Linked DNA regions of Drosophila melanogaster. The protein of the gene in region 1 purifies or fractionates together with the protein of each later gene. This does not show direct contact. Each region holds a gene or a part of one and is shown on either strand. Other genes may lie near its edges. The genes, in order: CG8611 and Ns2.

What was found.
Region 2: the proteins of CG8611 (region 1) and Ns2 purify together in Drosophila melanogaster (affinity purification with mass spectrometry, with the first as the bait; one large-scale study listed by BioGRID). This does not show direct contact.

The regions. Positions count from the first base shown.
Region 1 is NC_004354.4:17,416,039-17,427,729, reverse strand, and holds the start of CG8611 (uncharacterized protein), read left to right. Parts: upstream 1-5,584; 5' UTR 5,585-5,687; coding exon 5,688-5,747; intron 5,748-5,806; coding exon 5,807-7,794; intron 7,795-7,854; coding exon 7,855-8,282; intron 8,283-11,691. Other genes in the region: ENGase (Endo-beta-N-acetylglucosaminidase), read right to left, coding at 1-310, 813-1,130, 1,397-1,634, 3,874-4,105; CG12994 (uncharacterized protein), read left to right, coding at 4,604-4,658, 4,726-4,874; CG46464 (uncharacterized protein), read left to right, coding at 4,932-5,087. UniProt on the Drosophila melanogaster protein: Probable ATP-dependent RNA helicase.
Region 2 is NT_033778.4:17,562,718-17,574,705, reverse strand, and holds Ns2 (nucleostemin 2), read left to right. Parts: upstream 1-6,249; 5' UTR 6,250-6,377; coding exon 6,378-6,587; intron 6,588-6,974; coding exon 6,975-7,653; intron 7,654-7,711; coding exon 7,712-8,847; 3' UTR 8,848-8,925; downstream 8,926-11,988. Other genes in the region: Rab4, read right to left, coding at 164-375, 439-771, 842-922, 992-1,007; CG42239 (uncharacterized protein), read right to left, coding at 1,505-1,603, 1,673-1,783; UQCR-6.4 (Ubiquinol-cytochrome c reductase 6.4 kDa subunit), read left to right, coding at 2,002-2,054, 2,183-2,303; POSH (plenty of SH3s), read right to left, coding at 2,704-2,878, 2,940-3,233, 3,293-3,472, 3,540-5,184, 5,352-5,460, 5,529-5,642; CG14480 (uncharacterized protein), read right to left, coding at 8,926-9,318, 9,382-9,542, 9,603-9,798; CG46428 (uncharacterized protein), read right to left, coding at 9,988-10,269; CG43324 (uncharacterized protein), read right to left, coding at 10,721-10,921; Klp54D (Kinesin-like protein at 54D), read right to left, coding at 11,353-11,365, 11,425-11,748.

The DNA.
Region 1 (11,691 bases):
AATGAGCTCCATGGTCTCCCAACTATGGAAGCCGCCCTTGCGACTTCTTCCGAACACATCCAGGCCCATAAAGACGCGATGCCGGGGCGATTGCTCCCTCCTGACCTGCTGAGCACTCCGCTCCAGATGGCCCTCGTCCCAGGCGTAGTTTATGAGCGTTCCATGGCTGTGCCGGAAAAACTTCGCGTTGCGGGAGTTGAGCTCGTTCTGCCACCGGAGTTGGCCGTCGTCCGTAACGCTGTCGTACCAAAAGACACGACCATGTGGCACACGTGACTCCGTGGCAGCCGTCAGTTGCCGGACAAAGCGGCTGTGGAAAATGGAAACGCCATAAAGGGATTAGCATGAATCGATCTCAAGGTTACAGCCATTACGTTAGGATTAGTTTCGGCGCCAAATTCACTTTATATATCAAGTAAGAATTGCCTGCTTTTCAGATGCTCTTCACTATTATTCCGAATTTTTTAAATTCCATGCGGATGTTATCTTATGTGCAATCGAACTTATGCGTTCCATTGACTTGTGCAAAGTGCAATAAGTCAACTTGATTGTAGTGTGAAAATAGAAAAGCTCGTTTTGCTTTTGACAGTTCATGATAGATTGAATTGCAGAAGCTGTTGATAAATTGGACAGCTGATACAAGGCCAAAGTTTGCTCCTATGGCGAATTGGTTGCAAGAGGCGCTGATACACAGCCATTTTTCATGTAAACACTCGCATTCTAAAACTTTTACTAGCTAACAGCTTGTGTGCGAATTTTAAAGGGGTAACAAGGACCCTTTTTTTTAGGATGCACTGTCCATGAGTACTCACTATAGTCTGGGCATTTTGGCCAGGGGAACAGTCACCTCCACGTTGACCAGCCATCCCTCGAAGCCGAAGTGCTCACAGAGACGGGTTAGAGCCTCCACGGTGCTCTCGACACTCTCTTCGCTGGCCAGAAACTCGTCCAGCCGTGCGGTAGCCTCCACGATGAACGTGCCCACCACCGGAACTCCGTGGCGATGGGCGGCATTCAGCCAACCACAGGGCGGAATGGTCACGTAGTCGTGGCTGAAGTAACAGAAGTAATCCACGGCTGACCAGTGCACGAATCGATAGTCGTCGTACTTCTGGGAGCTGTGAAAGTGCCTGGCAAAACACAAAAAACCATTAAAAAAAACTTTATTTTCGGACCCCTCTGGCTTCCAAGTTTAATGAAACCGCATAGCTTCGCCTGTTTTTGCGGCAGATATTCATTAGTACAACTTCGATTGCATCAAGTGGCTTGAAAATTAGTAAGTTGCAATACATTTGCATTGACCTGACATGGGCTTTTTGTTAGGTAAATTCGTAAAGGGATTGCATCCCAGGTACCCCCTCCTTTTGTTGTTAAACTTCTCAGTTTAAGGACTCACCGATCCTCGAGGTAGTTGCCCATCATGTCGTGGCAGACGAGCAGTTCCCGGCGATTATCCTCGGTCACCTGGCGCCGGGTGCTGCCCACGAAGTCCGCCTGGCGGTCCAGATAGACGGGTGTCGTTCGAACGCTGGTGTCCAGTGGCAGGACGTACTCGCGCCAGTCGATGTTCCGGCTTCGCACCCGAAACTCCAGCAGCTGGCGGTTATCCTTGATAGGCTCCGCCTCCAGTTGGGCTGCAAGGGCGGGGGATATGTAAAGTCCACGTCGTAAAGACATTACTTCTAAGATCTTTGCGCGGATGCGAACCGCTCGAGGGCTCAGTGGACAATGGAGAATGGGACAGCGGTTCGCTACTAGCTAATCTCTAGCTTATGTTTTTATATCTCGAATATTTGTGCCATGAAATGGCAATGGGTTGCCTGAGCCCCACTGGAAAAAAAACAGTTTGCCTAGTTTATAACACTTTGGGTTGTTGAACAGTTCTCTAATTCAAAAACCAGACAAACTAAAACTTGCATGTATTTAAGTACCTTAATAGCGACTTATTTATTGCCTTCAAGGGGTATATGTATTTTATGGAACATTCTTAGCTAATAAATTCTGTAATTCTCCATAATAAAAAGCGTTATACTTTCCATATTCGAATACCCATTAAACGTGAATAAGTGAATTTTATAACCCAATTACCGGCGTTTAGTAGCATTTTTACAACGCTCGTAGAACGAGCTGAATTTCTTTCTTCTGCATTTTCCGCATAAGCACTTAAAGTTTTTCAATTTTCGCATTCGCCACTTGACCCGCTGAATTTGTCACGGTCAAACTAGCGAGCTGGTTATTATTTCCGCCAGATAATTTCAATGGCGATTAAGTGCAGCTGTTATGCAAATTCTTGCTCCAATTAAATAATAGTATCCAGTGTCATGAATAATATAAAAGGTTCAGTTTAGCTGAGATAGTGGGGGAAATTAGATATCTTAACCTAAGAGAGAGTGTGAGAACTCTAAGATACATGCCGTGAGCAATTATCCTGTTATATGCCTCACAATATTAACGAGTAATCTATCTATATTTATACAAATGTATTGCTGCTACTTAAAAGCAAGAGATAGTTGTGGAAATAAGCAATCTTAATGGGATTGTGCAGCAGTTGCTAACCAGAAAGGATTGCCGGTCTATAAATACCCCAGACAGCCATTTAATCATGAGTCGAGGGGTTAGTGTGGGGTTAAGTTAACCCATGCTGGCTGCAGTTGGCGCTTTTCAATTAGCCAACGCCGCCGGGAACGTCAACTGCACTTAATGCGCGGTTAAATAACGGGTGAACGCTTTATTTTCATTACCACGCAGGCAGGAGTTTCCTTTAAAGTTCGCAATTTTCCGGGGGGAAAAGCGAAAACAAATGATTCAGTTATCGCCCTTATCGCTGGCGGTCCAAAAAACTCCCAACTCCCAACTTTTGTGTTGCACGATTTTTGGTACGTGAGCCCTGAAAATGGCATTATATTGGATTGCGATGCGTGGCATAGTATGCCGTTTTTTGGACATGAATTATTCAAGTCGAAAGCCGAGTTAAAGCCACTTCACTAACGGGTTTTCGGTTTGGGCCTGGTCAAAAGCGACCTTCGCACTCATTTCGATTGCAGTTGCAGTTTCTGAATGTGCAGCATGGAAACGGAAGGATGCGCTGCTTCCTGTTGTGTTTGCTGCTGCACTGCGAGAAAATTTAGCCAGTTAGAGGTTTCTTTCAAATGAACCATGGCCACAAGGGCTCATTTCGGTGCGCAGTGCTGTTGTTTTACACCTTGAATTTATTTCTAAGGCTTATGGATGCGGTGCAATTCGTTTTTCTCAGTGTGCTTGGGCGAAACTTTTTGCAACTGCAGCAGATATGGCAGGGAAAAGGACGACAGGCGTGACGTTTTCAAGCAATTTGTGCCTGGGCGTTACTTTAATCTATCACGGATGCCAGGATATGGATTCTGGCCAGGAACAATCCCTGCATACGAAATGATCCAAAAGTCTATTACTATCCTTGGTCAGATAAAAGGGACACGCTTAAAGGATTCATGATGAACAAAGAGTGCTATTGCTTATGTTCGTTCAACTTTAAAGCGAATGATAACTTCGGTAATCTTAGCAAATTTTCTAGTTTTACTGATCTCTAAATCTCTAAAGTACACTATTTATAGAATGACATCTATGTACATACCAAGAAAACGTATTTAACAAACAGAAACATTATCACTACTCAAATTATAGAATGAGTAATAGAGAGCTTTAAAGATAAGGTTGTTATTATGAACTAACAAAAACCCATGTCGCTTACTCTATTCAATTTTTTTTTTACTACTTTAAAAGTAGTAAATAATAGTTGAATATATTTATTTCAATAAAATGAAAGTTCACTTTTCCCTAAAAAACAAATAGTGCAATAGAGACTGATATATGTGTCAGAGAAAGAGATGGACTTACAGCATCTACAGGTGTTCTTGTCTTGGCACTTTTCGCGTTGCACTGTCTCTTTCTCGCATGCTACCTCCTTAAGCTCACCCCCTCCCTCTTCAGTTCTCTTCTTCTTCACGGGAACAACTTCTTCTTCTTCTTCGGTGGTAATGCCGGTGATTTTGTCATTTTCGCTCGCTTTATCATTGTTTTCCATCACTTTGCTGATGCTTGCCAGTTCCTTAGACTCCAAACTATCCATCTTACAATTTCCAACAATTAATTTTGACCTGAAACTCCACAAATAAGCAACAATCAAATCGTCGAAAACTAATATGTTTATTTACTTAAAAACAGCTGACAGCAGTGCTCTTTCTCTTTCTCAGCAGTGATGTAAAACGGGCAGAGCAGTGCTGCAAAACACTACAGCCCGCGCAAATTTGAATGGCACTCAAAACGCGACAAAATATCAACTTCAGCAATGATTTTACTCTAATTTTGTTTTCTCTTCGCTAATTTCAGGTCCTGCTGGCGCCACCGAAAGACCTTGAGAAGCGAAGAGTGCGCCTGCACACATAAATTCCAATTAAACAAGGGCAAAGAAATTGAAGAACAGAAGGAGAAACCCAATAAAATATCCCAACCAGCTGCAATAGCAACAAATAGCCCGTTGAAACTTTGCTGGCCAGCGAGCCAAGTAGCCAAACATAAATAAAGGGCGCGCACATTTATTTATTACTTGACCCGAACTTTTCGCAAAATGCCAGCGGGTCGAGTGGCTGGCAAGGCCGGCTACTCCAATCACTACTACAATGGTGGGTTCTGTATGTGGATTATTCCCCTAACATTGATTTATTGTATGTTATGTTATGTTTTCTCCAGGACGCTCCTATGTGGGCATCAACGAGGAGATCATGTGGGTAAGCATCGGCATGGGCGTGACCATAGTGCTCCTGATCACGATCGCCTTGTGCTACATTGCGCGCGAGAAGTGCCAGAAGAGGCAGCGGGAGTACTACGTGACCGCATAGTTGTTGTACGCGGCCTGCCAAACGACGGAGCAGCAGGGGCATACCCGGGATGAGGTCATGGGCATGGAGGAGGGAGCTGGCAAATCGCAGAGCGCTGTCGGGGTTCCTGAGGCCAGTCCCGGGGGAGTATCACCATCGCCAGCAGGATCACAGGCAGCCGTCACCGTCATGCATTGGTCTGTGGTCGACATCTGTGCCCGCAGCTGGGGCTGACATGCCCACATGGATGTGAAAAACGAAGGAGAGCAGACACCCACGTATGTAAACCACCAGGGCCACCCAGCCGCCAGACCACAGAACCACCAGCCCATTCCACCCAGCACCACCCACCAAAAACCACAATTACTACGGAACCCCATGCGCTTCGCTGCCCAAGGCAGTTGAATGCGTGAAACTATTTTTTTTTTTTTTTGTTGGTCGTCGTCAAATGTCGCGTGCGAAACTCGTTGTAAGCATATTATATTTAGAGAAAGTTACTTTAAAATACAAACATGTTACTGAATTTGCCAAATACGAAATATATTAATATACAATATTAAATATAACGGGCTCTTGTGTTTTGCCAAATTCAACTAAAGATGTTTAAACGATATATTGTGCAATTTGAATTTAGCGCTTATGCTTCTTTTTTTCCTCATCTGGCAGCGCTATGTGCTTTTCTATGGGTAGCACTGGCGCGCTAACAGATGTAACCATACCTTTTCGCTGTGAGTGGCAAACGAAGAAGAAGAGCCACGCACGTTTTATTCAATTCGTTATTATTTACAAAAGTTTCGCGATTCTTCTTTGGTTGCGAGCATCAATTGTGCCAAAATGGTGGAAAATATATCACTGAATGTTACTGTAAAGTCGTCGGCTCGGAAAAATCAACAGGTTAGTGGCTATGTCTATGTTATTCAAGTGGTGTTTATATATTGTATATTTGATTTCAGCAGTCGCCCGCGCTTTCGGTTAAAAAACGTGCACAGAAATCCCAGGATTTCGACTTTCAATTCAATGTGGACAAGCCCAAAGTCAAGGCAATCGTTGTGCGAAGAAGGGCGCCTCCTTCGAAAGTTGAACCTACAAATTCATCAGTTCCCAATACCACGAAATCGCCGACGCCTTCAGTTTCCTCCAGCAAATCCGCAATTTCCACTCTTTCAGCATCCCCCAAAGCAAATGCATCCAACGATGATCTTATGTTCAATGTTAGCCCAACGAAACCACCTGTTAAGAGCGTTTTAGGCGACGATTTCATGCTAAATGTGACCACAAAGCCGGTGGTTGCCCAGAAAGCCAAGCCAAAAATCACACGAGCCGAAAGATTGGGCAAGAAACAGAGGCAGGGCAAGCCACTGACGAAGCTCAGCGAAGAGCAGATCACGCGGGCGCTGAAGAGCAACAAAAAGCCAAAAAATCCAAATCAATTACCCACGCCCGGTGACCTTTTCCGCGCTCAACTGGAGGAGGAGAGGCGGCAAAAGCGTCGTGAAGAGGGAGGAGGGGATCAGGAAGCCAGCGCCGATGAGGAGGATGCGAAGAACAACTCAGGAGGGGGATCTCCGAGGGTAAAACCGAGTTCAGCCGTTAAGGAGTCCAAAAAGTCATCAGATATTGAGGATTCCGGCGAATCCGGCGAAGAATCTGCAACATCCGATGAGGAACCAGATGAATCCAGTGCACAATCTCCTGGACAAGAAAAGGAACCCAAACAAACCGCGAAGAAACCACCGAAAGCCGAGGAAACCTCGTCCACAAACCGTTTTCGCACCAAGAAGATCGGCCTCTTCGACCAAAGCGACGTGGAGGCACTCAAGCAACTGGGCCAAAGAGCGGTGAAGCCCGTCAAGGAGACCATCTTTACAGGCTCTAAAATATCCACGTTGGGACTGCATCCTCATGCTGTAAAGAACTTGGAGGATCTGCTTAGCATTCGAGAGCTAACTAGCGTGCAGCAGAAGACCATTCCCGAAGTTCTCCAGGGCAAGGATGTGCTCGTACGTTCGCAGACGGGCTCGGGAAAGACCCTGGCATATGCTCTACCCTTGGTGGAACTGTTGCAGAAACAGCAGCCACGGATACAGCGAAAGGATGGCGTGCTGGCCCTGGTGATTGTACCCACCAGGGAGCTGGTGATGCAGACATACGAACTCATCCAGAAGCTGGTCAAGCCGTACACATGGATAGTGCCCGGTTCTTTGCTGGGTGGCGAGAGCAGGAAAAGCGAAAAGGCCAGGCTAAGAAAGGGCATCAACATACTGATAGGCACACCTGGTCGTCTGGTGGATCACCTGCTGCACACGGCCTCCTTCAAGCTGACCAAACTGCAGTTCCTCATACTGGACGAAGCAGATCGCCTGCTGGAGCTGGGCTACGAACGCGATGTCAAGCAGTTGGTGGAGGCCATTGACAAGCAGCGTGCGGAGTGCGAGGACAAGGAGCTTCCCCAGCTGCAAAGGATGCTGCTGAGTGCCACTTTGACTTCGCAGGTCCAACAGCTGGCCGGTTTGACCCTCAAGAATCCCCTGTACATAGACAACAGCGACGAGGCGGCGAGTGCGGCGCTGAAGAGCAAGGATGGCTACCAAAAGGAGACCATAGAAGCCTTGCTAGAGGTGGACGACGGACTGGGCGAGTACCAGGAGGATGTGACGGGTGTGCTGAGTATTCCCGAGAACCTGCAGCTCAGCTATGTGGTGGTGCCGCCAAAACTACGTCTGGTGGCACTGTCTTCGCTGCTGGCCAAGGAAGTGGACGCCAGTCCCAAGCAGTTCAAGGCGATTGTGTTCATGAGCACCACGGAGATGGTGAACTTCCATCACGACATGCTCAACGAGGCGTTGACCAGGCGAGTTCTCGACGAGGAGGACGAGCAGGAGAAAGGTGATTCGGATGACGACGGCGACATACCTTTACTGCAGGGTCTGCGCTTCTTCAAGTGAGTTGCTTTGATGTTTTGTAATGAATTGCACCTCCTAAGTGCTTGTTTCTTCCACAGACTACATGGCTCCATGACGCAGACGGAACGGCAGGGCGTTTTTCGTGGCTTCCGCGATTGCGCCAGCTGCGTCCTGCTGGCCACCGATGTGGTGGGTCGTGGCATCGATGTTCCCGACATAAAACTGGTGGTGCAGTACACGCCGCCGCAAACCACCGCCGATTTTGTTCACCGCGTGGGTCGAACGGCTCGAGCGGGCCGAAAGGGCAGAGCCGTGCTCTTCCTGACGCCCAGCGAGGCCCAGTTCGTGCGGCATCTGGAGAAGAAGCGCATCCGCATCCAGCAGGGCGACATGTACGCCTACCTGCAGACCCTGCTGCCCAAGGACGATGAGGCCAGGACGGTGCAGGAGGCGGCCTCCAATCTGCAGCACAAGTTCCAGACGCTGCTCGAGGATGATCGCGAACTACACGACAAGTCCTGCAAAGGTAGGTTCCTCTATTACGGCTGCACTCCTGCTATAATACGTCTTTCACTTGAATTGCTTTTGAAAGCTGTGCATTTCTAATGTATCTGAGTATAGAATGTTTATCTTTTGAGTCGCTTTAACTGATTTTCCCTTCGTTAATGCTGACTGCAATCAATACCAATTAATCGTACCATTACCACAAGCAGGCTGTCGGATTTTTCGTATTCAGAATATACGGAGAACCCCTACGTATCCTGTGGCATTGGACGAGTTCCCATGGCACTTACTTTTCCAATTGCCCCAACTCCGATATCCCTGGACAAACTAGCAATTTAATCCTTTCACCAAAGAACATTAACTTTGTAATTACGATTTTTTACAACACTCGGGTGGCTGAATACAAAAAAGGCACCAAGACAAACACACAAACTCTCGGCTATTTTTCCAATTATAAGTTGGAAGCCCGGGCCACGCCCCCGCTCTTTTGACCGCCCCCAGACGGGCGCAGTTATCATCCACGGGGCAGCGCGCGTTAAAAACACAAAAATTATTTCATATTTGAAGTTAATTTCGATTGCGTGTCAAATGATTCCCCCACTTCCGCTCCGCTCCGTTCTGTTCTGTTCGCTCCTTCGACGACCTCCAACCACCCAACCACCCCGCCCAACACCACCCCCTCTCGACCACCAACCCCCTGGCTGGCCACCACCTTCGTCCGTCATCGCGGCAAGTGACCACCAGCGACTTCTTTCATCGCCCGATCCTTTTTTCTGCCTTCATTTATTTCCCATTTTATTTTATTTGCTTTTCAAAACGCGAGTAGGGGAGCTACCCATTAAAAAGTAGTGAAAAGGGTATATTATATCAAGGGATGTTTTACCCAATCTAATAAGAGTACAATCAAAAACTAAGCTACTGCTTTCACAAATATTTCTTAGATAACAAACTATTTCATTTATTAATCACTGAGAATAGGAGTCCAAGTAGTGACGAATCGCACCAGGAGGGATGTGTCTTTGCACACCTATTTATACGAAATGAAAATCTGCTGTAGTTGTTCGATCATAGCGTGAAAACTATAAGCAGTATGGGACTTAAGACTTATGAAGTTCAAGAGGATAAGCGGTGAATGTAAAAATTTTAAAAATTCAAACTGATGGGGCTGTTTTGTAGAAATGTTGTAACTTTACGTTTACACAGTGCACTGTTCCTAATAATATTTTCACTAGGTATATCCACGTCTGCCAGCTATGCATTTGTCTACCATTCTGCTGAAAATGTAATTGCAGCGTTGAAAAGGCTGGAAAAAAGTTAATTAGATGTTACCAAGGCGCGTTTGAAGGGTTGAGTTGAATCCAGACGATATTTTCCCCATTTTCCTGCGATTGAAACATAAAGGACTCATAAAAGCGAGCGGCAGGCGAGTGGAAACGATTCTAATCGAAAAGAGGCACCCAAAATGAATCATAAATGGGGAAAAGGAACCAAAAAAACCAGGCAATGCGAATGGGGAAGATCCTTTGATGGCTGAGATGGCGACTGCGACTCGAAACAGGAAACGGAAACTGAGCGAAATATCGCAAAACAATGGCAAAACAGCAAGATAAATAAAGGATGAAGGATATATAAATACATTCATACACAGATACATTCATATAGGCGAGAGCGAGAGTCGGTCAAAATGGCAACGCAAATTGCACTTAAGCGCCGAGTCAAGCGTCAAGACAGGAAGCCACTTGGCAAAACTTAAGAGCGGAGCAGCCAAAATGCCCGAAAGAGACGACACTAGGCGGGGCGAAAGAGACAGGGCGATACATCCGGATTCGAAGTGGGCAGGGGAAAGGGTCCTGCTGGAGGATGCAGTTTTCTACTGCTGCTGCTCTGCTGCGTCCAATCAAAAAGCCATTAAAAAGTATTACGCTTGAACAAAACTGTACAAAGCAGCAGATAAAAGGCAGCCAGAGAGGGACGGCAAATGTGGGTGGGTGGTGTACGAAAGAGACGGGCGATGGAGGGACAAACGAGCTGGGAAAGAGAGGGAAGAACATCTGCGACTTGCATTGCATCGGTAATTGAAACAATTTTCAACTTGGAATTCACTTTTTGTCTTCAGACTTCAGGCTTTTTAAAGTTACAGTAGTTCGTGCTACAGTGCGTTTCGCAGATGTAAGACAATGGTAAATGGTAGAGAACAGGGAATGTAAAATGTTCTCCAAAGAAAGAAGATTATATATTCTTCTGACTATACTTAAGTTCTTGCGGATTCTATAATTGAAGACTATTTATTGAGGTCTTCAATCAATGAAAGTAATAATGCGTTTTTAAACCACCTAAAATGTATTGTATATTTCAAAATAACCACATTTCCCGATATATCTCTCTCTCGAAAAACATCTGTTTTTCAAACGCAGGATAATCCGCTGACATGCACGCTGATCCTCATAGTTCCCCTTTGACTTACAATCATTTTTTTGGCGTATTCTATGGCATATTTTCACTGCCTTGGTCCATTGGCCCATTGTTTGCCATTATACCGCTAAATGGAAAGAGTTCTGTTAATGCCTTTCGAAACTAAGCCCCTGATGACCCATAAGTCCCACGCTTTAGGGCGACACCCCCGATTAGTGGGTATCGAGTGAGGAAATCCCATCTAGAACCCTTCGTCTGGGGGTTGCGAAATGGCAATGGTAATAGAATGGCAATGGGTGGACTGAAAAACAATCACAACAATTTGCCACGCCTACACAAACCGCATGGACACGCGCTGAAGAAACCACCACAAAATCCGGAGGAGGAACACCCACACCCACACCCACAGCCAGAGAAGACCAAAAACCACCGAGACAATGGCATAAAAAGCCATTTTGTGTGGCTTCTGCGGTGGATTCCGCACTCTCTCCTCCACCACGAAACTTCTTTCCACGAAATGACATTTATTTTATTCGCCACTTCCGGCTGGCAGACGTCTCTAAACATCCGCTGCCGTCATACTTTTTGTTTGCCTAATGTCTGCCACTTGGCCGTAATCGCATTTGCGGCAATTAAGCCAGAACCAGAAAGCCCAGGGCTTGACTTCGAGACTTTGGTCCTTTGGTGCTTTGGTCCCCAAAAAAGGACACTCGCCACTATGAACTGAACTGAACTGAAAACCGGGATGCAGAGAGCACTGCTGCGAGTTAATTGCCGGGGCAGGAACGTCTTTGCATCCATCTCTGCTGGGCTTGCCACTCCTCATCCCTGTCCTCCATCAGTGCTTCCTGTTTTTCTGGGATCTGGAGTTCGTTCCGGAATCATCCTGCCGTCGTCCTGTGGCTGGAGGATTCGGTGTGTGTGGCCGGGATGTGCGGCTCTTCGGTAGTCAATTACGAACTCCTGGGAACGGAAGGGCGACTAGTTTATTAAAGCTAATTTAGCGGCGTACAGTGTGA
Region 2 (11,988 bases), on another chromosome or scaffold:
AATCGATTAGCATTATGCTTACAATTGGAATGATTAATCTAGCAAGACAAAATACATACTAAAAAAGTGGACACACACAAGTACACAATACAACTAAGGGGTAATCCGAATGCGCATTCCGGTTTGAGATTAAATGGAAATAAATCAGCACAACTTATGCGACTTAAACGCGACAGGTGCAATCCGGCTTATTGATGCTGCGCTGTCGTGTCTGTAAGTTACGGAGAGCAGCTCCGCCGTACTGAATACCGCTGCCGATGCGCTCGGGATCCAGCTCTCCGGTCTCAATTTTGGCCAGTATGGTCTTTGAGCACTTGAGAAAGGCCTCTTCAACATTCTCCCCCGTCTTGGCGCTCGTCTCCAGGAAGATAAGCTCTGCAACGACAAACAGACGTAGAATTACGATAGGAAATTTATGGAGAATCCTAAAAAACAGACCGTTCTCTTGGGCAAAGGTGCTTGCTTCCAGAAAGGTCACATCACGCGCCTCCTCCAAGTCCTTTTTATTGCCCACCAAAAGGATCACAATATTTGGGCTGGCCAGAGTGCGAGCATCATTCAGCCAGTTTGTCAAAGCATTGAAAGAGTCCCGCGAAGTGGCATCGTAGACCAGGAGAGCTCCGGCTGCTCCGCGATAGTACGATCTTGTCACCGATCGGAATCTCTCCTGACCGGCTGTGTCCCATATCTGTAGCTTTACCGACTTGCCGCCCACGTTCACAATCCGCGAGCCGAACTCCACTCCGATGGTGTGCGAACTGTCGTCTTTGACTTTGATGGTACATCAAAATGTATAAAATGCATTAGGCGTGTACCATTTTCAGGCTACCACCAAACTTACACTTGCTCTCGATGAAGTGATGCAACAGACAACTCTTACCGCTGCCAGCACTGCCAATTATCAGGAACTTGAACAGGTAATCTAGGTGAGCGCCGAGCACCGATATTAATTAGTAAAATGCATTAATTAATTAAATGTGTGCTGACAAACCGTATGTTTCCGACATTGTTTTTGTTCGTCTTCTGCGTAGTTGTCTTCTTTGTTTGTTTTGGTTTTTCGGCCAGACTTCAGGACTATCGGATTGCTGGTGCGTATGGGCACCAGGAAGTGCGCAGGACACGATCAAAACCCGCAATATCCGTCGATAAGTAAGCGTTTAAACAATTAGAAAGCCAAAAATTACCTTAAAATCTTTGACTGGACTCACTTCAGTGAGAAGGTTCGCTACAAACGCGAAAATACCAACAAGGGGTGGGTGTGACCAGGTGGTTCAAAATATGATTCATATTGCAATTAAGTTTTTGTTTACTTTTAAAATATTTCCAAATATATGAAAATTGCCGAAAGCTACAAAGAAAAAACAAAATATGAAATGCAGCCCACAAAGGTTTATTGTCTTTTTTCAAAAACCCTCTTCTATTCATCACACAATTTGCATACATACATATATGCAATAAAAGTATAAAAGATGGTGGGCCCTGGTAATCCAACCCGGCACATAGTCTACGTATCCTTTTGCTTCTCTGGTTCGTAGTCTTGATAGCAATTAATGGGATCCTTGGCCGTATAAACTGAGTATGCCAATTTGCTGCCCTTGAAGTTCTGTAAACTCAGGGCAGAAAGGGAAAATTACTTAAAATTAACCATTCTGATAAGCACTATCTGCCGTACCTTCATATCGCCAGATATCAGAGTCCAAAGGAAAACGAACACCGCCGGTATCACAGTGGACAGGACAAACAGCTCGAATGTGTTAAGCTCCCCAAAAACGGATATTTTCATTTTAATTTCGTAATTTTTGATGAGTTCTTTGCGAATATTAGTTTTTGTTGATGACTAGTTGTTGTTCTCACGTAGGCCGCACAGTGTTGTCACACCTTGCTTTTAAAGTTTTACGCTATCCTACGGTCACACTGTAGTGGTATTATTTAGGACATTTGAAACTATTGCGTTCATTGCGAACATTTTGGTGCGTGTGAAAAGTTATTAAATCAACAAAAATGGCTTTCCGCATACCTTTTGGCAAGAAGCACGCTGAGATAGCGAGTTCCTTGTAAGTATATGCTGTCGTGCTTGATTCTGCATCATGAATTCATTAGTGTTCCCGCTCTTTTACTGCTACCAAAGCACACATTGCATAACCCCATCCAGAGAACTAAACTAGTTTCTTTTAATTCGTAGCATCCGATCTGGAGCCGGATTCGGAGGAGCTGCTGGCCTGGCCGTGCTTTACTACACCGACTGGAAGCTGGTCCTACAGTACGTGCCCATCTACGGATCCAAGTTCGAAAAAAGCGAGTAACCTTGCCTGCCGTAGTTGAATCCACAGTTAGCCTCGATGTTTTGCTTGGTGAATAAAATAAGTTAAAACGACCAAAGGGTATTACTGAGTATCGTATATTACAAATAACTTTGTAGAGGGCACAAGGATCGGTTAGATTATTTCTCTAGCTAACTAATCGCTAAGGCTTAAGTAACTGTTCCCTAAGTCTTACATGGCTAGCCTATTTTGATCAAGCATTGTATAAAAAAGTACAACGGCGAGCTGCCCATTCGATTGGAAGAGTACAAAACGGTTTCTTTTTTGAAAAGAGAAATATGAGATTGCGTATTTGGAAGCCCGAATAGACCGACGATTGAATCCTTTTAGACAAGTAATTTGGAATTTCGCTTAATAAATTCTAGTTTGAACCATAACTTTCCTAACAATCCGGTTCAACAAAGGAGGCGGGGAACAGCCCGGTTTTGTGGGTACGGGCATGGGTGCCCTTATACCAGCCGTTCTTCTGCTTCCGCTGGACGTAGATAATGTCGCCCAAATGTAGCTCTAGTTCAATGTCACTGTTTGGTGGATACGGCACAATGCAGCGGAATCGACTACGATAAAAGGTTGCATTAGTAAATCTCTAAGCTCACAATAATGTATTGCAAAACCCACCTTTCCCTCGTGCAGTAAGGAGACTTAGTGGTGGCGCTGGCCTTAATGGCCGCCTCCGTGATCATATTGCTGCTGGGACTCAGCACATGACTCGCATCTAGGCTGTGCGACTTCCGATGGCTGGGTGCAATAATCATATTGGCATGCAACTGGGATTGCGCTCCACCTCCAGGAATCACCTGTTGCTGACCGCCGGCGTAGACAGCTGGGGCCACGGAAGTAGTAGGTGGCGGCGGCGACGCGGCATTGTTGTACATACTGCGAAATGTAGCTGCATCTAATGATTGTCTCGCGCTGAATCAAAATCCAAGAGTCAGTTAAAAGTTAAAGCATTCAAATTAAGCCTAACGAACCAAATCAAGTGAGGACGTTCCTTGCTTCCTTTCACGCGTTGCGATCCGTACGAAACGCTGTTCGTAGAAGCGGAAGGCAGCTGCTTGGGTAGGAACTGCTGTTGTTGTGCCGCTGTCTTGGCTGCTGGAGTTTCATTGAGCGGTTGACTGTGCTGCAGCTGACTGGGGCACGAGCCGGATCTGAAGAGACAAAACAATTAAACTTTTATTCTGGTCTATAAAGATAACTTATTATTGCGGATCTAACCTTACATGTACTGGATGCAATTTAGCTGATGGGTTTGTTGTAAATTCCACATTTGTGCTAATAGCTTCTTTCGGAACTTGCTGCAAGGACGCTCCCGGAGATTTGGAGCGTGTTTTCATGTGAGTTAATCTCCTCATAAGTCCCACTGCTCCAGAGGAACTGCTGCTCGTAGTCGAAGCTGTGGCAGTTTCAGGCTTGGGCTCCGATTTTCTGCTGAACAGCGCCTCCACTGGTTTCGACCACACAGAGCAACTGGTGGTCGTGGCGGTAGCCTGCTGCTGACGAGGTGGCAAATCAGGCGGTTGCATGGACAGCATGTTGTTGAGTCGCACATCTGGTGCAACTGGATGCTGCTGTACTTGTGCCATCTGGGCGTCTGCATTTTGGGGAACATATTTCCATTGATGCATTAACTGCTGCTGGTCGCGGGCGCGCAGGGGCGTCAGGTAGTTGCCCGGGAACACTCCAGTGATGTCCAACCAGTTTTTTCCCTTGAACCAACCGTCCACACATCGTTCGGTCACAATGTAAACACAACCCTTTTTTAATTCCAGCTCATCCGTTTGGCGTGGTTTGTATGGGAACAGGGCTAAGTATCCCCAGGGTAAATTCGGTTGCATCTGCTGCTGAACAGTGGTCTTAAGTACACGCGATGTCTGTGGGGCTGACGTGGGTTTTAGAGCTGTTGAGCTGGAAACTTCCAAGCGGCTTAGTTCATGGGGCAGGCTAAGAATTTCAGCCGAATGGCGGTTGGTCTGCAGCAGACTTAATGGAGCTCCTCCTCCCAGCAAAGCATTTAGTGAGTGGCGTTTCTCCTTTGCTCCCTTGTCACGGAAACGAACAGACGCCGATCCGGAAGCTACTACATGTTGGGGGGTATTCGGCAGTGAGATTTGGTGATTCGGACTGCAGTTATTCGAGCTGGATGTGGAGCTTGAATTGCTGCTGCCCGGCGTGGAATTGGAGGATCCCGAACTGGATTCCGTGACCACCGTGGGATCAATAACTGGAACCGGAGGAAGGGCCCGCTGCCCCTGTTGCTTCGGTGGATGGCAGAATGGATGGGTGTGTAGCCCGCTGTCCAACAGCTTTTTGGCCGCTGCATTCAGCTCAACGAATGCTATTGGAAAGATTCCGATGGTCTGGCCAATTCGTCCTTCTGCCCAATTATGATCAACTCGGCGCATTACCTGTATTACAGTGCTTTTCTTAAATTCGAGGCATCCCTCCTCGTCGTTGGGCCCCATCTTAAAGTCATACATGGCAATGCACTGCGGCATGGGCAGCGGAACCGATACCTTGACGTAGTTGATGGGAAATGTGCCCTCCTGACCATTCGCTTGACCCACAAACCAGTTGTTGTCGATGCGATGCTTGATCAGTATCAGATCCCCTTTCTTGAACTTTAGATCGGTGGCTTCACCGGAGGCGAAGTCAAAGAGGGCATAGGCGTGGGGGAGTAGAAATCGACGTTGCTTGTGACGAGCCGGCTGATGAGATTGCTGATGTGACTGCAGCTGGAGTAGTTGGTTGTCAGGCGGGGCCACTGATTCCGCTGGCGGCTGAGGTTTGGCCCTTTCCGGCTGTGTTTCAGTCTCCTCTCCCTTTTCTTCTCCTTTGCCAGCTGCTGCATTTTGTTTCATGCCTGTGAGAATTAAAGAAAGGGTGTTTAAAGGTAGGTAAAGACCAGGTAAACGCCATATTCAATTGCCAAAGCCACTTTGCCGCACTCATAAAGTCAACCATTCTTTGATTTTGAGCGTAGGCTGTTGTGCTGTGCCAGTTTAGGTTGGTGTGGGCGTTAGCTGTTACCTTCTAAGATTCGCATCAGCAAGACGTTTGGAGGCAGCTCATCAATTTTGCAAGAGACCAGGATGCGGCACTCCGGGCATCGCAACTTGTGCTGACTGGCCACAATGTCCTGGCATAGAATGATGAAATCATTCGGTTATATGATATATATGTAGCAAACCCACAACAATTACTCACCTGCAAGCATTTGCGGCAGAAGGTGTGCTGGCATGGCAGCACCTTCGATGTGGTGTCCAGTCGCTCAAGACACACGGAGCACTCCAACAGGTCGTTTAACGTGTGCTCGTCCATCTTGCCAGTATGCAAAATCTCAAGGATGGTCACTATTTGAATTTCGTGCAGGGCCACATTCCAAAACACACACACATGCAGGTACTGGCTCACGCATACGCAATCCCAAGACGCGGTTGGGAAATAAATTTAGCTCAAATGCTAAAATCTACTATTATAATCGCTACTTGTCGTTCTTAATGCACTAAATCAGATTATATTATCGTTGCAATAGGCAGGATTCAATGTTTAATTTATTAAGTTTGCCAAGTGCAGCCAAAGCTCGTGGCCAAGCGGATACAAATGTACATAGGCACACGGATATAAAACCAGCTTGATACTTGAACACAGTGATGGTCATAAGTATATGCCCAATAGGAATAGTAGTTCCATAACATTTAACCAAAAAGAAAGAAGCTAAGAGAGTACTACATGTTTTTTAAATTCACTAAATTTGCAAAAAATTATTTAAATACCACATGTGCCCCGGTTATAGTTGCATTTAATAAATGCAAATAATTGTTAAGTTGTACCCAAACTGGTGTTTATTACTGTTGGGATTTTAGTGTGGCCAGTCCTCGTAGTCGATATTTTCTGAAGCGCATTTTAGTGTTGGATACTAAGTCCAGACAGTGCTGAAAAACGCACGATCCCTTTGTTTTTTTATTTCATATAAAAACACGTGTGGTTTGGTTTGATCGTGTTCAAATATACGATTTGATTTATAAACAAGGCACACGACATTCTTGAGACACCATGCCAAAGGTACGCAGCACCCCGGGTAAGCCCCGGACGCAGGGATTCAACCACTCAAACCACTCCATGAATCCGGAGCGCCCCAAAAGCGGTCTCAAGGGAGTCGCCCACCCCCGCACTAAGGGCACCATCAAGCGGCTTCAGATGTACCGTAACTTCAAGGCCAAGCGCGATCGCACTGGAAAGATCCTCACGCCCGCCCCCTTCCAGGTGAGATTTAGCTTTACAACATGTATCTTCGATAATTCTTATCTTTGGATTCATAAGATTTACCATCACTTATAGACATAGGAAGGATTTATTGCAACATGAATATCCAATAACCATTGTTTAGTTTTCAAAATTATCATCTACTTCACAAAGGTGCAATTAAAACGATCGACTCAAAATTAAAAGCATTAAAAGATAAAAAGATTTCATAAGTATATTTTGTTACGACTTATTATCCGTATAATAATTTAATTACAAATCTTATGTTTTCATTCTTGTTGTAAATATATAAAAGAAAAAATTAAATACAAGAGAGAAAATGCCGAATATGTTTTCCACAACCCATTTAATAATTCATACTAATCCTGGAAATGTGCTTTATTTTAGGGGCGCCTGCCTGCTGGAACAATGGCTCGAGTTGAGCCTACGCCCAAGTGGTTTAGCAATTCCCGCGTTATCTCGCAAACTGCTTTGCAAAAGTTCCAGGATGAGATTGGCAAGGCTGTCAAGGATCCCTACCAGGTGATCATGAAGCCATCCCAGTTACCGGTAACTTTACTGAACGAGGCAGCAAAATACAAAAGGGTTCATTTGCTGGACACCGAGAGCTTCGACAGTACCTTTGGGCCCAAAAAGCAGCGCAAGCGCGTCAGCCTAAAGGTTCGCGATCTGGAAGATTTAAGCAAGGCGGCCGATGACCAGGCCGATAAGTACGATTCAGCTAAGGATTTAGATCTAATCCGCGAGGATACTGGCGAAAAGAAGGCCGTCCGTGATTGGGTGTTCGGTGCGGGGCAGAGTAAACGCATCTGGAACGAGTTGCACAAGGTGGTCGATGCGTCCGATGTGCTGCTTCAGGTTCTTGATGCCCGCGATCCCATGGGCACGCGCTCGAAGTACATTGAGGAGTTCTTGCGCAAGGAAAAACCGCACAAACATCTATTTTTCATTCTGAACAAGGTTGATCTGGTACCGGTGTGGGTAACGCAGCGTTGGGTGGCTATTCTTAGTGCCGAATATCCTACTATTGCCTTCCATGCCTCCCTACAACATCCTTTTGGAAAAGGTAAGTTTATAAAGTAAAAATATCAATTATTTGTCATAAAAATCAATTATTTTTATAGGTGCGCTCATCAATCTATTCCGTCAGTTGGGCAAACTGCATTTGGACAAAAAACAGATCAGCGTGGGCTTCATTGGGTATCCCAACGTGGGTAAATCTTCTGTTATTAATGCGCTACGATCAAAAAAGGTTTGCAAGGTAGCACCAATTGCGGGGGAGACGAAAGTATGGCAGTATATAACGCTAATGAAACGCATCTTCTTGATCGATTGTCCTGGCGTGGTGTATCCCACCGCGGAGACTGACACCGAGAAAGTGTTGAAGGGTGTGGTGCGGGTGGAGCTCGTCACAAATCCTGAAGATTACGTAGACTCTCTGCTGAAACGCGTGCGTCCGGAGTACATTTCAAAGAACTACAAAATTGAACACTGGAACACATCCACGCACTTTTTAGAACAGTTGGCTCAAAAGACCGGCAAGTTGCTAAAAGGCGGTGAACCGGACGTTACGGTAACAGCCCGTATGGTGCTTAACGATTGGCAACGAGGCAAACTTCCTTTCTACGTTCCACCCGAAGGATTCGCAGTTCCCAAATCCCAGGAGGGTAAGGAGGAGGAAGTAGTTGCAGAGGATCCCAACGAAGATGCTAAATCCGAGGCACCTACATTCGTCAGTGAGTCTGTAAAGAAGGCGCGCGAGTTTAAGCAGATCCAAGATTTTCGAAAAATACGCGTGGGTCTTGAGTATGAGCAGGAAGATGTGAAGGATCTTGATCACATAGATCTAGAGCTTTTAGAGCAACAGAAGGCCGAGCGTGCGGCAAAGAAAAAGGCTCGCATCCACAACCTCGGTGAAGAGGACGAGGAGTCTAGCGATGGAGCGGACGAGTTTTACTCGGAGGACGAGTACAATGAGGACTTGCAACGCGTTGTGCACAAGAAGGCCAAGTCAAAGAAGCCACAACAGCTGGCCATCACATCGTCTGGTAAATTCCGAGTGGCCAAAATACAACCTGGTGATTCGGATGGTGCTGGCAGCTCTGACGACGATGGACCCAGCACTTCAAAGGCTCCTCGGTTGACTGCAAAGCAAAAACGCTCCCTGGAGCGCAGTCAGAAACGCAAGAAGATTGGCAGCAACTTTTACGAGACGACAAATGTTAAGAATCGCAATAGAAACAAAAAGAAGGACGCGTAAAATATTACGTTTACACTCTAGGCTATATTTTCTTGCAAGGAAAAACTACACTTTAAGAATCCAAATAAAAAGTTGATCCTACTCTGAGCACTGCTTCTTCTTGGGAATTTTGCGGCCACATAAGTCGGTTCGGCTGCACATACTGGGTTCCTCCTCATCGGTGCTGGCCTCCGAGTCACTAGACTCCGTGTAGGAGCCGATGCCCGGAAGTATAGCGATGCACTTTAGGGCCCCCTGGTTGTATTTGTTTGTAATTAATGTGGTGTTCGTTGTCTTATCAGCAGGGTCCTTGGTTGCTTCATTTGTCGCTGTCTGTTCGACCTCATTCTCAGTGATTTTGGCTACTTTACTGGTGGTGGGCAGTTCGCCGTTTTTTCTCTTGATGCCCTGGCCGAGCAGCGTCTTCTGAGTGCTACGCCCGACCGAAGCTCCCGCGGACTTCGCTGTGGTTTTTAGTTCAGCTTGCAGTTTCTGAGGGTTGCGGAAGTTCGGGTGATTGTAAAATCAATTGATTGTTGCTGTAACTTTACCCACCTTGTCTACACTCTCCTCCTGCAGCTTTTCCACACGATTGCGAAAATCCTTTAGTTCTAGCTCCTCGTCGCGCATTTGCTGGCGCTCCGCGTGTATTTTATGGGCATCGACCAATTCCAGAAACTGCACCTCATCATCGTCCAGACCACGGATGAGGTTTTCTATACGTATATTACGCATGTTAGGATGGCCAGATTGCATTGTTTATGGCATAGTCTTACTCAGCTTGTGGGCTTCCTCGAACTCCATGTCCTTCTTGTCCTTATTTTGTTTGAGGCGTTCATAAAGTGAGCGCCCATCGTAGGGTTCCTCAGGTCGTTCTAGTGGATCCTCCGGCTGGCGTACACGCTCCCATTCCTCCTGACGTCTCTGCCTTTGCTCGGTCGCCTCAGCTTCAGTCACAAAGCCCGAACTCATGCTGTACTTTCGTAAAATTGCTCTTTTTTACAGACCACAACTATTGCCAGTGTGGTGAACGTCGAATTAGCAGCTGTGCGATGATATAGAAGTGTTGGTAGTGGCTCGTGAAAATTTGAACTAGTGGCGGGAATTGCTAATGCTTCTGTGTCATTTTAAGTTAAACGTTGAAAAACTTTCCAAGTCCCACTAAAATGAACTATCCTTATAAACTCTTTTAATATGACAGCGCCTTACTCTACCAACTGGAACACTGGGGCGACCACGGGCCCTAAGCCTGGCTCGATTTATTTCGGCTATCTGCACAAAAACTGATTTTTGGGCGGTTGTCATTTCTCGCCATTTTCTGCCGGCTATTTTGGCCAAGGAAATCGGTTTCAGATGGCAAATGTCCCGCTTTTGAAGATTAATCCGAAAGTGGTCAAAGAAAATAAAGTAGGGATTAGCGGATGGGAACTTGCTTGGTCGCATTGTCCATGGTAAAGGCGAGACACTCATCCGGAACATTCTGAAATTTTGAAAATTCTTCCTCAGGTAAATCGAAACAAATACCCTTCACATGAAAATCACTGGTTACATGACTTTATTTCAGGAATATCTCAATAGGAAACATCTATATAGGATGGGGCTTTGCTAAATTCTCCAATAAAGAGCTACAGGATTAGCAAAATACACGATATTCATACACACATATGCAGGCGTTTTAGGTGAAGACGGTTTCTCGTATTTTGTTTATACATCCATAAATTCTCGGTTCGTCCGTTTCCAATGTATATACTTAGTTTATAGACATAATTGAGGTCAGCACACTTACAACGAACAGCAAATAGGTAATACGACTGATTCTGAACTTCGCCGTGATTGAGTATACATTATAGGATAATACTGTTAGGATTGGGTCCGGATCATGATGTATCCGAATCTACAGGATGCTGCAGGAGCTTTTCTCGCGAAACGGATTCACCTTCTGTGTGAAGCCGCTGAGCAGGCAGTCTTCCTCCTCGTGCTCCAACATGTACTTCATCATCAAGGAGCATGCCACCGAGACGGGCATACGCTCCATCTCCACTTCCCGCCGTAGCTGCAAGTTGATGGAGCGCTGCTGTTGCAAATTAGCAGCCATTATGTCCAGGACGGCTGTCTCCGCGAGACCTATGGTGGTTGCTGGGATGCTAATACTGCTGTAATATTGATTTGATTCAATTTGAGTTGTGCTTATTTCGATTTCCCCAATATTGTAAGCGAGAAATATGCGCTCTACTTCTCGATGAAATATTTTATTGGGGGCGCTGAAAAATCAATATTTATAAAAAGTGTGACCGCGTTGAGAATGGTGCTTTAGTTTTCCGACTTTTGCCAGCCGTTGGTGAAAGCTTCTTGTTGGTGTGGGGAAAGATTTCACAGTTTTTGAATCTTGGAATAACTATAAGCTTTCATAAATTGTATCAATATATGTCCTATTGGCTATAGATTTTTTTTATCAATGTTTTGTACACCGTTTATTTTATTTATTGCAAAAATATATAGTTTACAACTGTTTTTATTTAAAGTTAATTATGTGAGCATGCTGGAAATAAAAATGAAATTATGAGTAAAATTAATTAGGTGATGTTTCTAAAAACTTACTCTGGCATAAACTCTGTCGACTGCTTAGCATGCGCCTCCTCCGGATTCAGGTTCAACTCCTTGGTAATGTCTGAGTCCGGTTTCCGGAATGCATTGGCCATAATCAGAATGTTCTTGGCTATTCTTTTCTGATCGATTCGCTTTTGAGCCGTATCTGTCCGTCTATTAGCGTTCTCCGACATCCGCTGCTCTATTGGTAAATCTGGTCCTGGTGGAGATTGGAGCGGTTCTGGATTTGTCCAGATCTCAGTGCCAGGTGTTTCCTTTCCTGTCGTTGGGGATATGGCCGGACGTGCTGGTATCAATGGGGAACGCACACAGACTCTGTAAAAGAATATTAATAAACATTAAATCATAATTTAATCATAGTGTTTTTACTTTGTAATGAAAAATGTAGAGAAGCTACGAGCTTCATAGGAACAAAAACAAACTTTTATTACAAATCCTTACATGACTAGTCACACTCTTGGCTTGTTTTTTTTTAACATTTACGAATACATTTTACATAAAACTGGTTAAAAAGTAGAAAACATTCGATATATGTATATAGGTAATATTTCACTC